2 linked regions of the Stegostoma tigrinum genome follow. Each later gene encodes a partner of the first gene's protein in a complex. Links are inferred from orthologs where the notes say so. Each region holds a gene or a part of one and is shown in the gene's direction. Other genes may lie near its edges. The genes, in order: annexin A4-like and tardbpa.

Region 1 (7,433 bases):
CACGTGCCAGTCTCTTGTCTTCTGACCTAGCCAGTATCCCATTTGCCCTATTACTGTTTCTGTCGAATATTTTTCTGTGTACATGATCTTATCTATGTGAAACCTGACAACCAGATCCCACAAATCTTCAAATTATACCAGTTGTGGCTAACACACTTCTGTGAGAGACACCCTGGACATATTTTGTCACATGTCTTTGAGTCTAACCCAGTGATATTTTAATGGAGAGTGCATGGCAACATGGAGATCTCAACTCAACATGTTAGTTAAATAGTGCCGTAAGCAAATTGCATTCAGGAGAATGGAAGCTTCTATGTGGCTATAATATCATGTATAGTGTTACAATTAAAAAATCAAAATTAGGATGGGTGTGAAGCAAGTAGCACAGATGAGTTTAAAAGAGGATTTCAAAGACTCACTGTGCACTCTGAAAAATGTAAACAGACAACTGATGATAGGAAAAGTTTACAGGTAAATGATTAAACTAACAGAGGTTCTTTATTGACTTTTGGTAGGGCCTCATTTCTATTTGTCAGATAATATTTGAGAAGCAGCCCATAAATCAAACAATGATTGTTCTTTCAATTAAGAAGAGGCAGAGTAGGAATCAGGATCCGTGCGAATCATAGAAAATGGACTTATTTTTAGATGCAGTTGTAAGAGCTTAATGTATATCACTTGGATTTGTTGAACCTTGGAACTATTTATAGACAATATTTTTAGAATGAGTGCTGGAAACTGTTAAAGTTTATGTGCCTTTCAGTGGTACCACAAGTCAACCTTATACAAAGACTCTCATTCACAAGACCCATGAACACATCTTTCTTTGGTTGTGTCTACACTTCAGACATCAGACTGGGAAACTTGGCGATGTCTCGCTCCTAATTGAAATTATGAACCTATGCAGAGAGCATCTTGCTTAAAAATAAATTGAGCTCTGTTGTTAAGCCATACGGATTAGGAGAAAGCTATACTCTCAACATATTTCAAAGTCTAGGTCAGTTTGAAAATACCCAGAAGATCCACAGCAATATTTAAATACATTTGTAACCCAGGTTGATGCCACAAATGAGTGACAACGTGGTTCTCTCCCTCAGAGGTTTCACACCGCTCCATTCTGAAGTCAAATCTAGATCCAGTTCTGGAGTTATGCAGTCAATTTTGCATTGTAACAGTTAGGACAGTATCACAGTAACATTATATCTCCACCCTTTGTGTATCATATTGTCTTGTTGCTCCCACAGCAGAACAAATAATATGAACAACAAAAGACTTCTTCATGGAGAGATAAGATTCTTTAAAGAAGTGACATTACTTTCATTGTAACCAAACCACACACAGGAATTCTTTAAAGTTCTCTTAAGCAACCAGAACTCATTTGATGCAATTCCTAAAATAAATTATTTTATTCACAATGAGATCACATTTTTCAGGAACACAATAGCAAGGTTGCTTTTATATTATTCAATTTCTTGTAAAATTTACTCCTGTTCAGCCATTGATTGGATAAATATGTAGCGATTGTCCAGGAAGCAGCTTGGGTGGAAAAACAGAGTTAATATTTTAGGTTTGTGACATTTCTTCAGAGCTGGAAAATATAACAGGATTTAAGCAAATAGAAAGTCATAGAAAGGAGAGAGAGGACGATACAAAAGTGACGGTTTATAACAGGGTGACAGGTGTTATAAAAATAATAATTCTGAAACAGTTAATGTTGACATTGTATTCATCTCTACCCAATCTGATAGTGTCTTCACTGGAGAATCTGGCATTCTCGTTTGAGATCTTGATAGGGTTAGAAGACAAAGCTGGCTCTTGATAGACACAAGCAAATATGCCTGATCAGTCAATGTGGCTTGTATCTATTTCTGTTATGTAGGATAAGTGTCCCTGCATGTTAGAACTCACCAGGGGTCTATCTTCTGCTCTCTTCTGACTCATTGCTGCAACTGTCCAGCGATCATTTCCAGATGATAGATGTTTATGCATTTCCCAGATTAGATCATAACAGTTGGCTTCCTTTGAACAAAGGCTTTTTAATGTATGAAGTGCAAATTAGTAGAAACATGTTTATTCTCCATCCCTAGTTCAATTGAGATAATGGAAGTGAATTTCTGTTATGAACTGCTGAAGTCCTAATATTGTCAGTATTAAAATACTGTTAGGCAGGTAATTTTTGATCCAGGGATGAGGAAGTAGAGGCACATTTACAATTCATAGTTTGTGCCATTTAAACATAATAATGTTCCCATGATTTTGCTGCTGTTTTTCTCCATCTTGGTGATGACAACAAGGCTGGGCAATATTGTCAAAGCAAGCTTGGCAATTTGCAGTCTATTCTGTAGGTGGTGTGTACAGTTTACTCCTGTAACAACAGTGTGCCTCTGATGAGGTCTAGTGTGTTAAGGGGGACATATGAAGATACACTTCATTGGATTTTTTGTGAGAAAGAGCGAGAAATGTTTATTTGCCCTCTGAGACAAACACTAGTTTGATTATTTGTTCATCATGTTTGCTTGGTTTAAAGGGTCCCTGATATTGAATTTAATTGCCTAGACCTGACAGGAAGGACACTTATTTGCTTCCTGCTTTCTGTATTTGTTATATTTTGAATCAATGTACTAGCATTTAATGAGTCATGCATATAGGGACCTAAGCCCCTCCGTCCCCTTCATAATTTCTAGCCTCTTGCCATTCAGATAGTATTACAAGATCTTCGATCCTTTATAGCTGGTTACTGGGTTTTGCCAATGCACTCTAGGCCCAAAACGTCAGCCTTCTTGCTCCTCTGATGCTACTTTGCCTGCTGTGTTCATCCAGCTCTACACCTTGTTATCTCACTAAAATGATATGTCTTTTGTTACTTGTATATACTGCATTCTTGAAAGTGCTGCCTCTCAAATGGGGGCCAGACCCCTTTCACACTTTGTTCGAGTGAGGTATCAAAGATCCTGTGTCACTATTCCCAAGAACAGTAGCCCTGGCTGATATCGAGCTCTCAATCAACAACACCGCTTTCTGCTCATTATCACATTGCTGCCTTCTGTAAGACGTTGTTGTGCACGTTTACAAAGAGACAGCACCCCTGTTACAAAGGAATGTAAAAACAGTAATTATTAGAGAAACTCAGCAAGTCTGGCAGCATCTGCGGAAAGAGAAACAGAAGCAGAAGTGAAAAATGATCACTGGACTCGAAATGTTATCTGTCGCTCTGTTCATAGATGCTGCCAGACCTGTTGAGTTTCTCCAGCAGTTTCTAATTTTTAAAATTTGATTTTGACTGGCTTTGAATTATTATTGTCACATGTACCTAGGTACAGTGAAACGTTTGGTTTAGTGTGCAGTATGGGCAGATCATACCACACAAAGTGGAGAAGGGGCTCTAGGCCCGAAACGTTAGCTTTTGTGCTCCTGAGATGCTGCTGGGTCTGCTGTGTTCATCCAGCTTCACACTTTATTATCGAGGAATATAATGTTACAGCACAAAGAGCAAGATCAGCATCAAATTTGAAATTTGGGAGGTCCATTCAGAAGTCTAATAACAACAGGGAAGAAGCTGTTCTTAAACCTGTTGGGAGATGTGTTTATGCTTTTGTATCTTTTGCCAGAGGGAAGAGGTTGAAAGAGATTATAACGTGGGTGGGAGGGGTTTCTGTTGGCTGCCCTTCTGAGGCAGGGAGAAGTATAGATGAAGTCAATGGATGGAAGGCTGGATTAGACTGGAGTTTGTAACGTCCTGGTCAGAGCAGTCGCTGAAACACGCTGTGATGCATCTGTTTTTGTTTAAGGTCCCCAGCTTGTTTGTTTTGTTTCAGTGTTATACAAAGGGGCATAGTTTGAGTGAAATGCTACCGCAATTTTTCTACTCTAGAACACCAATTTGATAAAGAGCTTCATTGACTGTTAAGTGCTTTGGGACGTCCTCTGACTGCGCAGGTCCTTATCTCCTATTTTCTAGCAATTGTACGAATAATTTCTCTTCCGCAGCAGGATGAGATGTGAGGTTTCATCTGTAATGTAGCAACTTTTGTACGGAAGCTTGTTACAATTTTTTTTTAACAGAGGCGCGCTCAAGAGAACACGACTGACACTATGGACTGAGAATTTCCCCCCCAAATAATTACATAGCCCCTCTGAGATGACTCAGTCTTTCAAAATAAAGTCCCCGCACTTCCTTCTTCAACTTTACAATGCAGATAATATCAAGGCTACAACTGAACAAATTCCACGTCCTCTTTTTCCACCGTCTAATTTGTTGCTTTAGCTTCTGACGTTGTGATGGGCGGGTGGTATTGAGTAGGAAGGTCAGCTGAATAGATTTACGTCTATTTTAGTATACCGAAAAAAACAGGGCGGACGAGCTAAGAAGAGGAAGAAGTCTGCGGAACTTGCTGTACGGATCAAGCGCCTTGCAGGTAGGTGAAAATACCATCCCGATCAAAATCTGATTTGTTTTCTTTCCCGAAACAATGTATCAGTTCGTCCTCGATGTAATTGCTCTGCTCATTCTCTCTCTCCCCGGCAAAGCACATTCGCTAAACATCGCAGCTCCTGGTTTGAAACGGATTATGGTTGTGCTGGGGTGGGACAGGGGTGTGTTTGGTTGGGGTGCTGGTATGGGGATCGATGCTGGCGTGAATCTATATCCCAGTGATTAAAAGACGCTTGAAACTCACAAGGAGCAAGGAGATGGGCAACTTGCCAGCTCTCCTGTTCCCTTGCAGTTTCTTTTTATGATGACCATCGCCCGTTTGAAGCCTTTCCTTTTTTTAAGTATCTAGTGTGGCGACACTTTCTCTGAAAGCAATGCCTATCACTTAATTTCTGATTTCAGGAAAGCCAATTGATTACATCGTCTAGTGTCGACTGATCGACTTGAGAGTCCTGCAGTTCTCCTGAACAGTAAACCGCAAGCGTGTGTATCTGTGTAAAACTGTTGATTGTTTTCCCCTCATATTCTGGTCCAGTCTTGAGAATGCATTCTACTTGGCACAGAAATGATGAGCGTGTTTTAGAGAAAAAAAATCTATCAACCTATTTAGACGTCTGACAGTTCTGTAGCCATTGAATCTTAAAGTGATAATTGAAGCCTTGTGGTCTAGAAATAGGAGCACTAACAATTTGTTACAAGATGCTCAAGTCTTTTTTAATGACAATATTAGCTAATATTAATAATAATATTAGATAATATCAGAGGGGAATCTTGAACATGATCACATTTACCATCTTCTGGGTATTAAGGAGTGGGTCTGGTCTCCTGTTTTAATTTTTAGCAAAGTTATAGATTTTTTAAAAAAAACTCGCCTCTTTTGACATGTCATGACGCACCTCTGGAGCAGATGGGACTTGAACCTGGATGTTTTTTGGCTAGAAGCAGGAATGCTACCACTCTGCAACAAGAGCTTCAAGCACATGTTATAAGACAATATGAATCTTTTGAAGGGGATGTGACAAATTGCGCAGCTCAAACAGCCTGTGTAAGCATACCCAGCACCTTCAGGGTGTTAAGGTGTAGTTCTGCCCTACTGCTTTCATTTAAACAAGTTATTGAATGGAATTATCAGCTTCACCTCACATTGAATGGGATGAATCATTTATAAAATACTGGATTAGCCTCAATTTCCTTCAGTCCCAGTTAGCCCAGCATTTGTTGTGCGTCCCTAGTTGTCCTTTCAAAGGCTTGTTAAGAGTCATCTATGTTCCTATGGGCCTGGAGTCACATGTAGGCCAGACCCAGGTAAGGACAGTTGAGTTGTTGCCCAAAAGGACATTTTCCAGGGTTGGAGGGTTTGAGCCACAGGGAGACGCTGAACAGGCTGGGGCTATTTTCCCTGGAGCATCAGAGGCTGAGGGTGACCTTATAGAGTTTGTAAAATCATGAAGGGCGTGGATAGCTGAATAGCTAAAGTCTTTTCCCCAGGGTAGCGGAGTCCAAAACTGGAGGGCACAGGTTTCAGGTGAGGGGGCAAAGATTTATAAGGGACAACATTTTCATGCAGAGGGTGGTGCATGTGTGGAATGAGCTGCCAGTGGAAGTGGTGGAGGCTGGCACCATTACAATATTTAAAAGGCATCTAGATAGTTATATGAATAAGAAGAGTTTAGATGGATATGGGCCAACTGTTGGCAAATGGGACTAGATTAATCTGGAATATCTAGTCAGCATGGATGATTTGGACCGTAGGCTCTGTATCTGTGCTGTACATTTCTATGCCTCTACCAAACAATAGTGCTTCCAATTCTGGGCACCATATTTTAAGAAGAATATGAACCTTTTGGCGAGACTGTAGAAAAGATGTATAAGAGGATATTACAGGGATAGATTGGAGAAACTGGACCAGCTTCCTCTTGAGAAGGGAAGATCAAGAGGAGATTTGTTAGAAGTGTTCACAGTCATGATGGTGTCAAGATAATGGCCATTATTGGCAGAAGACTTAACAACCAATGAAAGGCAAAAGAATCAAAGCCAAATTGGGATGGTAAACCTTTTTATTCCACGAGGTTTGTTGTATCTGGATTGTGATCCCTGAAAAGGTGATGGAGACCAATGCAATCAGAGCTTTTGAAGGGGATTGAATAAGCAACGGGACAATAGATGTAGGCAGTTCTGTTTAGTGCCAACAACAGAAATTGTTGGAAAAAGCCAGTAGGTTCTAAAGAATGGTCACTGGATCCGAAACGTTAAACTCTGATTTCTCTCCACGGATGTGACTGCTCCCGTTGAGCTTTTCCGTCAATTTCTGTTTTGGTTTCTGATTTCCAGCATCCACAGTTCTTTAAATTTGTAGTTTTCCTTAGTGCCCTGGCCAATACCTATTCCTCTAGCAATATCACACAAATAGATTACCTGCTGTGCATATTACTGCTGCTTGTGAGAGCTCGCTGTGGACAGGAAACATTTGGATGGTTGAGTATAAGGGCTGGGAGTCAGATGAACCGAACTGTACTTGCAAAGTTCAAACATAACCTTGATGAGTTGAATAGCCTCTTTCAATGCTGTTACCATTCTGTTATTACCTTTGTTTATCCGTGGAATATTGCTGTATTTCAAGGATTACTTATAATTGGAAATAAAATACTTTCGTACTCCTAAGTCTGACCTTTTAAAGGTTAGAAGGTAGATAGTTTTGTTCAAAAGAACTGGTTAGGACCAGTGCAGCTTGTTCTTGCCTCTGCTCAGAGCTGGTATGAACAAGTTCAAAGCCAAGCTGCAAACATTAAGGCAATAAACCAAGAACCAATTGCCAGGTAGACGATTCATGTTGTAGAATATGTTTTGAAAAGCATCGCTTTCAGTGTTGGTCTGAAATGTTAGGCTCTGTTGAAAGAAGCACAGCTGAATGTTAACAGAAACTACGTCAGCCAAGACCTTCCTTCATAGAAGCTCTCATGGCCATTCAGCTCTGGTGTGAAGCTCTGCAGCTCATGTCTTG
Region 2 (8,003 bases), on another chromosome or scaffold:
CTGCTCCCAGGATGAAACATTCCACTCTCATACATCCCAGATGTCCTCGTTCTTCAAGGACTGCAACTTCCCCCCCGCAGTGGTCGAGAACACCCTCGATTGTATCTCCGTAATTCCCCCAACTCATCCCTCACACCCCGTCCCCGCAATAACCGCCAAAAATGAATCCCCTTTGTCCTCACATTCCATCCCACCAACCTCCGGATACAACGCATCATCCTCCGACACTTCTGCCATCTACAATCCAACCCCACCACCAAAGATATTTTTCCATCCCCACCCTTGTCTGCCTTCTGGAGAGACCACTCTCTCTGGGACTCCCCTCCAACCCCAACCAGCACCTTCCCCTGCAACCGCAGGAAATGCTACACTTGCTCCCACACCTCCTCCCTCACCCACATCCTAGGCCCCAAGATGACCTTCAATATCAAGCAAGTGTTCACCTGCACATCTGCCAATGCGGTATACTGCATCCGCTGTACCCGTTCTGGCTTCCTCTACATTGGGGAAACCAAGCGGAGGCTTGGGGACCGCTTTGCAGAGCACCTACGCTCGGTTCGCAATAAACAACTGCACCTTCCAGTCGTGAACCATTTCAACTCCCCCGTCCCTTCCTTCGACAACATGTCCATCCTGGGCCTCCTTCAGTGCCACAATGATGCCACCTGAAGGTTGCAGGAACGGCAACTCATATTCCGCTTGGGAACCCTGCAGCCCAATGGTAGCAATGTGGATTTCAGTAGCTTCAAAATCTCCGCTCCCACCACTGCATCCCAAAACCAGCCCAGCTCGTCCCTGCCTGCCTAACCTGTTCTTCCTCTCACCTAGCCCCTCCTCCCACCTCAAGCCGCACCTCCATTTCCTACCTACTAACCTCATCCCACCCCCTTGACCTGTCCGTCCTCCCTGGACTAACTTATCCCCTTCCTCCCTCCCCACCTATACTCTCCTCTGCACCTATCTTCTCTTCTATCCATCTTCGATCCACCTCCCCTTCTCTCCCCATTTATTTAAGAATCCAGTCCCCACCTCCCTTTTCTGATGAATGTCAGCTTTTGTGCTCCTAAGATACTGCTTGGCCTGCTGTGTTTATCCAGCTCCACGCTTTATTATGACACATCACCCATCTAGTTTGCTACCTATCCCATGTGGCTCACAGTCGTGACACCTTTATTATAAAATTCTGAATTGAATTAGCTTTTTGTCACATGTATGAGTACAGTGAAAAGTTTACAAGTCACCACTTAAAAAGCGCCATCTTAGGTAGAAGATATGATACCTTGATTTTAAAATTCTCATTTTTATTTTCAAATTTTTCCACTGCCTCACTATCTCTATTGCTTCAAGATTGTCCAGACCTACACACTTTCAGATATCTACATCTCTCAATTCTCGTCTCGTAAATATTCTTATTTTGAATTGCTCCACAATTGGTAGCGGTGCCTTCATCTGCCTTAGTTGTTGATCCTTTTCTCGTCTTAGCGGGTTTAAGTATTCAGACCCAAGAATCTTAGAAATAATGAGACCGGACTTAGTTAACCAACCAAAAGGAAGTGGTGAGGGGAGGTACTGTTGAAAAGAATCCAACTTGCTAATGAACTCAGATGCATGAAGTTAAAAAGTACTTACATCCACAACTGATTCAACCATGTGAGAGGTAGTCTTCAGAGGCCAAATGAGTCATCTCTCTCTCTCTCACAATTACAGTAATCAATTTCAAAAGTCACTGTCCTATATACAGTATAAACCTGCACATGCTGAATTGGGGATGGATTCTCATTTTCAGGTCCTCATCAGGACTTGGTTTAGATTACAAATTAGGCAGTTGTTCAGAGTATTTAGCTGTTAGCTAATTATTAGTCATGTTTATCAGGTCAGAGACATCGAAGGACATGCTCACACATCTGTCTTTCCAGACTTCCAAGGCCGATTTCAAAAACATTTTAATCACCCTCTTTTCTCTTAGGTCTGATAAGGCTATCTAACTTAATCTGGGAACAAGGCTGTTCTCATAGTTTAGCAATCTTGAGAAAAACAAGAAACAGAGAGAAAATGCTGGAGAGACTCAGCAGATCTGGCAGCATCTGTGAAAAGAGATTAACAGACTTAATGTTTCAGGTTTGATATGACCGTTAGAATCTTAGTCTTACAGTATAGAAACAGATCATTTGGTCCAACTCATGCATGCTGACCAGACGTCCCAATCTGATCTACTATCATTTGGCAGCATTTGACTCATATCCCTCTAAACTCCAAATAAAAATGAAAAGAACTGCAGATGCTGTAAATCAGGAACAAAAACAAAGTTGCTTGTTAAGTGGTCTAGGCCCAAAACCTCAGCTTTTGTGCTCTGAAGATGCTGCTTGGCCTGCTGTGTTCATCCAGCTCCACACTTTGTTATGTTGCTGGGAAAGCTCTGCAGGTCTGGCAGCAGTTGTGAAGAAAATCAGAGTCAATGTTTCAGATCCTATGGCCCTTCCTCAGAACTGGACCAGACCCCCGCAGTGGTCGAGAACGCTCTCGACCGTGTCTCCCGCATTTCCCGCACCTCATCCCTCACACCCCGCCCTCGCAAAAACTGCCAAAACAGAATCCCCCTCGTCCTCACATGCCACCCCACCAACCTCCAGATACGACGAATCATCCTCCAACACTTCCGCCATTTACAATCCAACCCCACCACTAAAGACATATTTCCAACCCCACCCTGGTCTGCCTTCCGGAGAGACCACTCTCTCCGCGACTCCCTTGTCTGCTCCACACTCCCCTCCAACCCCACCACACTCTCCTCTCCACCTATCTTCTCCTCTATCCATCTTCGATCCACCTCCCCCTCTCTCCCTATTTACACCTCATCCTACACATGCGACTGTTAAAAAGTTAGCCCTCAGATCCTCTTTAAATCTTTACCCTCTCACCTTAAACCTATATCGTCTAGTTTTGAAACCTCCCACCCTTTGAAAAAGAGCTTGGCTATTCACCTTTTCCATGCCCCTCATGATTTTATTAATCTCTAAGGTCTCTGATGCTCCAGGGGAAAACGCCCCAGTCTATTCAGCCTCTCCCTATAGCTCAAACCCTCCAGTCCCAACAACATCCTTCTAAATCTTTCTGAACCCTCTCAAGTTTAACAATCTCCTTCCTATAGAACAGCAACCAGAATTGTACACAACATTCTAAAAGTGGGCACCAATGTCCTGTCGAGCTACGACATGACATTTTACCTTCAAACACAACGCACTGACTAACGAAGGCAAGTAAGCCGAATGCCTTTTTCACCACCGTTTCTACCTGTGACTGCACTTTCAGGAACTTCAGTCATATTGGGCTTGAAATATTAACTTTTTTTCCTCTCCAGAGATGCTGCCAGATCTGCTGAGTTTCTCCAGCATTTTCTGTGCTTGTATCAGATTTCTAGCATCTACAGGAGTATTTTGATTTTATTTGAGAAAATCAAGCTCTCTCTCCCTGCCACTCTATGTCCCGAAGCTCGATCGACCAGATCGGTCAAGTTTAAAAAATCTATATATACCATCATGGCTGGATAGCCAACGCAGGTCTGAACGTCAACTACAGTTTATTCTACAGGATCCATATCCAACAAGGTTCTATGCCCCCAAATCCCCTTCCGAAGGCTCTACCTTTGTTTCTTTAAAACACTCCATACAACATCCCTCTGATCAAGTATGCAGCGTCCTAACATCTCTTAAAACAAAGGACAGAAACTGCTGTAAATACTCTGAACGGGTAGCAACTGGGAGCAAAGAAATAGATCAGGCCTTTCAGGTCAGAACTAGTTCAGCAGCAATTAGTTTTTATTTCAGACTTCCAGCATCCAATGTATTGCTTTGGTCGTAATGTGTCCTTCTGTGGTTCAATGCCAAATATTGTCCACTATGCCATAAGAGGTCCGTCTCGAGGAAGGGAGAGACAATTGGTTTGATAGCTTGAGGGGTACCACCCTTGAGCAGGTCCCAAGTCTACCTCAGTCAGGAACAGACGCTTGGTGTTACTAAAGCAAATGCTAGCCGTGCAGACAGACCTAACCAGCGCCCTTGTAGGACATTAAGGTTGCCATATAAATGCAAGCTGCTAGTGTACATTTACCTCAGCTGCAAAAATATCTGTAAGGCACAATTCACTATTGTTGTCACCAAAACAATGAAGTGATTGAGTCACTTTCAACTGTTAGCTATGCTCACAGGGAATATTTCAGAGCTGTCTGCCCTAAGAAAGAGTGTTTTCTTTATAGTCTTGCCCTGACATTAAGGTTAGGCCGAGCTTTTCCAGCAATTTTTGTTTTTATTAAAATTAGCAACTGTGCTGAATTGCATTGGAATAATAACCATTAAACATTGACAAAACGATAAATTCTTCATAGAACAAGGATTATAACATTTACATTTTCACCCATTTAGGTGCCAAACTCCCTTTGTGTAACCAGACACCTTACCAAGCAAGGAGGGCGCTTCCATCCTAATACAGGGGAGATTAATAAAACAGATATAACAGCCAGCACGAACAAACACGACAAACATTTTGCCTTCAATCAATAAAAATGAGTATAATGTATCTCATAATAATGAATTAGAATAATGCATACATCAAGCACGCAGGAGGATTTTTAATTAACAATATGCACACTGACCCCCCCCAGTAACAAATGAAAGACGCCCACCGTGAGCCTCATGTCATGTGGTGGGCTGACGTTCAACGCGCCAGACGGTGACGTTTCGCACAGACTTTGATGACGGAGCGTACGAACGCCCAGGCAGAGCGCGTGTAGTGGGGTTGGAGGAGCCATTTTGTGCGCGCTTTTCATCGAGTGAGGAGGCAGCTTGTCGCTGTCCCGTCAATCCGCCGCCGCGCTTCACTGTTCATCAGGGCTCGTCCCTTCTCTTTGTTTCTCTCTTTGTCTTGTTCCCACCCCAGCTTTTCACCCTGGCGATGGCAGAGTATATCCGTGTGGCGGAGGAGGAGTCGGAAGAACCGATGGAGATCCCGAGCGAGGACGACGGCACGGTGCTGCTGTCCACGGTGACGGCGCAGTTCCCGGGCGCCTGCGGCCTGCGATACCGTAATCCCGACAACCAGTGCATGCGAGGCGTGCGCCTGGTGGAAGGCATCCTGCACGCCCCGGACAATGGCTGGGGCAACCTGGTCTATGTGGTTAACTACCCGAAAGGTGCGGCCCCCGTGGTGGGGGGAGGGGATGGGGAGCGAGGGTCGGTTCGCGCTGAATGGCGGCGACGGTTTACTCCCTTTCCCCAGGGATTTGGAGGCGGGGGGCGCGGTGTGCTTGGCGACGGAGAGGAACGGCAATCTTTTTATTCAAAATGCATGGTTTTTTTTTATTTAGCGACACCGTCCCGAGAGCCTCGCTTCACCGCTCGTCTGCCGGTGCCCAGCCGCCATTTGCTGAACACGCCGTCGCCTTGTGCTTTCAGCTTGCACAAGCAAATTAGTCTGATTGGCTTCGATCAAGCGTTAAAGTCGTTCCGCTAATTTCCCCCCCGCCCCGGGCTGCAGCCTCTGAGTTCTCCTTCTCAAAAATCGGGAGTGAAAGCTTATTTACTATTCCTAACTCTCTTTTTTTGCTTCCCTTATAAGCTGCTGGCTTTGTGCTTCAACTACGCGACCGCCATTTATGCTCCGCTTCCATCCCAACCAGTACGCCCAACGTTGCCGTAGTCCGTATTGGTTCGGATATATGAGTAGCAGTCCATAAAGATTTACTGGATAGAAGTCTACAAAACCAGAGCATTTCTATGCAGTAGCCACTGCTGATATCGGGGTTGATATTTGCAGTTCTGATGTTTTAACTTGTCTTTTGTAATCGTTTTAACTGTTGATTTCCTTTTTGGGGGAGGGGGGGTGGTAACCCGTGCTGAAGATCTTAAAAGCTCAAGTTTTATTGCTGTGCCCAGGCACAGGCTGAATGTCAGAAGGATTTCATTGTCACCCTTTTTCAGCAGTCAGACAGCTTCCTCTGATAAAACACAATACAGTTGCTGGAGATTTGCAAAGAAACAAAAATTGTCAGAGATTTGTCAGGTCTGGCAGCAATTCTCAAAAGGTCGCAGGGCTAAAAATGTCAATTCTGTTACACTTGCCTCATGTTGCCAGACCTGAGTTGCTCCATGAACTCTTTTTGTTTGAGTAGATTATTATGCTGCTTGAGGCCAATATGAGCCAAACTCATTGCTATGGGTCTGGAGTGATGAGGATCAGAGATTAGGAATGCTGCACATCCTTACCTGAAAGGTGACAATTAGCCAGATGGTTTTTCTAGAATCCAGTAATTTTGTGGTCATTATTAGTTTTACATAGTAAATTTGGTTACTTAACAAAACTAAAATTCCCCAGACATGTAATTCTAACTCTCTAAAGTAATGGACCTCCTGAATTTATATTAAACACTCATCCCTTGTTTCAAGTAATAAACTGCAGCAGTGCCAATGTTCTAAGTTATTGAAATGTTTCTGTTACCTAATGGACTGTTGTTGAACAGAGACCTTATGCTTCATAGTTCTTGAAAGTGGAGCCCCAGGTAGATAGGATAGTGAAGAAGGCATTTGGAATGCTTGCCTTTATTGGTCAGTGCATTGAATGTAGGATTTGGGGGTGGGGTGGGGGTTAGGCTCATGTTGCAACTTTGAGACATGGGTTAGACTACTTTTGGAATACTATGTGTGTTTGTAGTCTCCCTAATCTAGGATGTTGTGAAATTTGAAAGGGTTCAGAAAAGATTTACAAGGACGTTGTTAGGATGGGAAGGTTTGAGCTATAGGGAGAGACTGAATAGACTGAGGCTATTTTCCCTGAAACATTCTAGGCTGAGCGCTGACCTTTACAGAGTTTATAAAATGATGAGCGTGTGAATAGATAAGGTCTATTTTGGCGATTCCAAAACTAAAGGGTATAGGTTTATGGTGAGGTGGGGAAAAATTTAAAAAGGGCCTAAGGGGCAACAGGACCTCACAGCACCAGGGACCCAGGCTCGGTTCCAGCCTTGGACGACTGTCTCTATAGAGTTTGCACGTTTTTTTCTGGGTGCTCCAGTTTCCTCCCACAGCCCAAAGATGTACAAGTTGGGTGGATTGACCATGCTCACTTGCAAATGGTGTTCAGGGATAGGTCTGGATCGGATGTTCTGAAGGTCGGTGTGGACTTGTTGGGCCAAAGAGCCTGTTTCCACACTAGGCATTCCATGATCTAAAACATAGGAACAGTAGGCAGTTCAGACCATTGAGCCTGCTCTGCCATTCAATGACATTGAGTGATCCTCAACTCTGCTTTCCTGCCTTTTCCCAATAGAATTTATGTTCTGAAGGTTTATTTTTCCCTTAAGTATACTTGATTGCCCTGCCTCAATAGCCCTTCAAGGAAAAAAAAATTACAGAAATTCACTGCCTTCATAAGAAATTTGTCCTTGTCTCTGCCTTAGATATGTGAACTCTGACTTTGAGATGATGTCCTCTGGTCCTAAACTGACCCACAAGGGGCAACAACCTTTCTGTACTACCCTGTCAATGCACTGCGAATTCTTGTACATTTTAATAAAGTCAGCTCTGCTCTGAATTGCAGTGAATATGGACACTATCTACTCAGCTTCTCATAAGATTTGGCTGTTAGCAGGTGATTGCCAACAAGTATCATCGTCCACCTGGGAAATTCTGTGTCACTGGGCATGAGATATGTGGGTCTTTGCATGGTTGGTGCCAACTAAATGAACCTTATATAGCCTGCCTTCAGTGCCATTATATCTTTCCTTAAAGTGTCCAAAACCGTTCACAGTATTCCAGCAGTGGTCTGACTGTTCAATAGCTTTTGCAAAATCATCCAACTTTTATACTAATTTCCCATTGCAATAAAGGCCAACATTCCGTTTTATTTTCTCTGTTGCTCTCAAACTTTGCTTTTTGTGATTTGTGGGCAAGGACTCCAGATCTCTTGCATTTTGCAGTGTTTCTCTATAATACTCGACAGCTCTATATTTCCCA

What was found.
Region 2: the proteins of annexin A4-like (region 1) and tardbpa are in contact, whole or in part, in a cryo-EM structure (PDB 9FOR), measured with the Homo sapiens proteins. The link is inferred for Stegostoma tigrinum from reciprocal best matches to the Homo sapiens genes ANXA11 and TARDBP. Residues at the interface, in NP_001148.1 of Homo sapiens: Gly56, Met57, Ala59, Met61, Ser62, Gly63, Phe65, Asn69, Pro71, Asn72, Leu73; in NP_031401.1 of Homo sapiens: Ala328, Leu330, Ser332, Trp334, Gly335, Met337, Gly338, Met339, Ala341, Ser342, Gln343.

The regions. Positions count from the first base shown.
Region 1 is NC_081390.1:18,821,416-18,828,848, forward strand, and holds the start of annexin A4-like, read left to right. Parts: upstream 1-4,263; 5' UTR 4,264-4,415; intron 4,416-4,834; exon of another isoform or gene 4,835-4,902; intron 4,903-7,433. UniProt on the Homo sapiens protein: Binds specifically to calcyclin in a calcium-dependent manner. Required for midbody formation and completion of the terminal phase of cytokinesis.
Region 2 is NC_081381.1:39,737,677-39,745,679, reverse strand, and holds the start of tardbpa (TAR DNA binding protein, like), read left to right. Parts: upstream 1-4,777; 5' UTR 4,778-4,947; coding exon 4,948-5,185; intron 5,186-8,003. UniProt on the Homo sapiens protein: RNA-binding protein that is involved in various steps of RNA biogenesis and processing.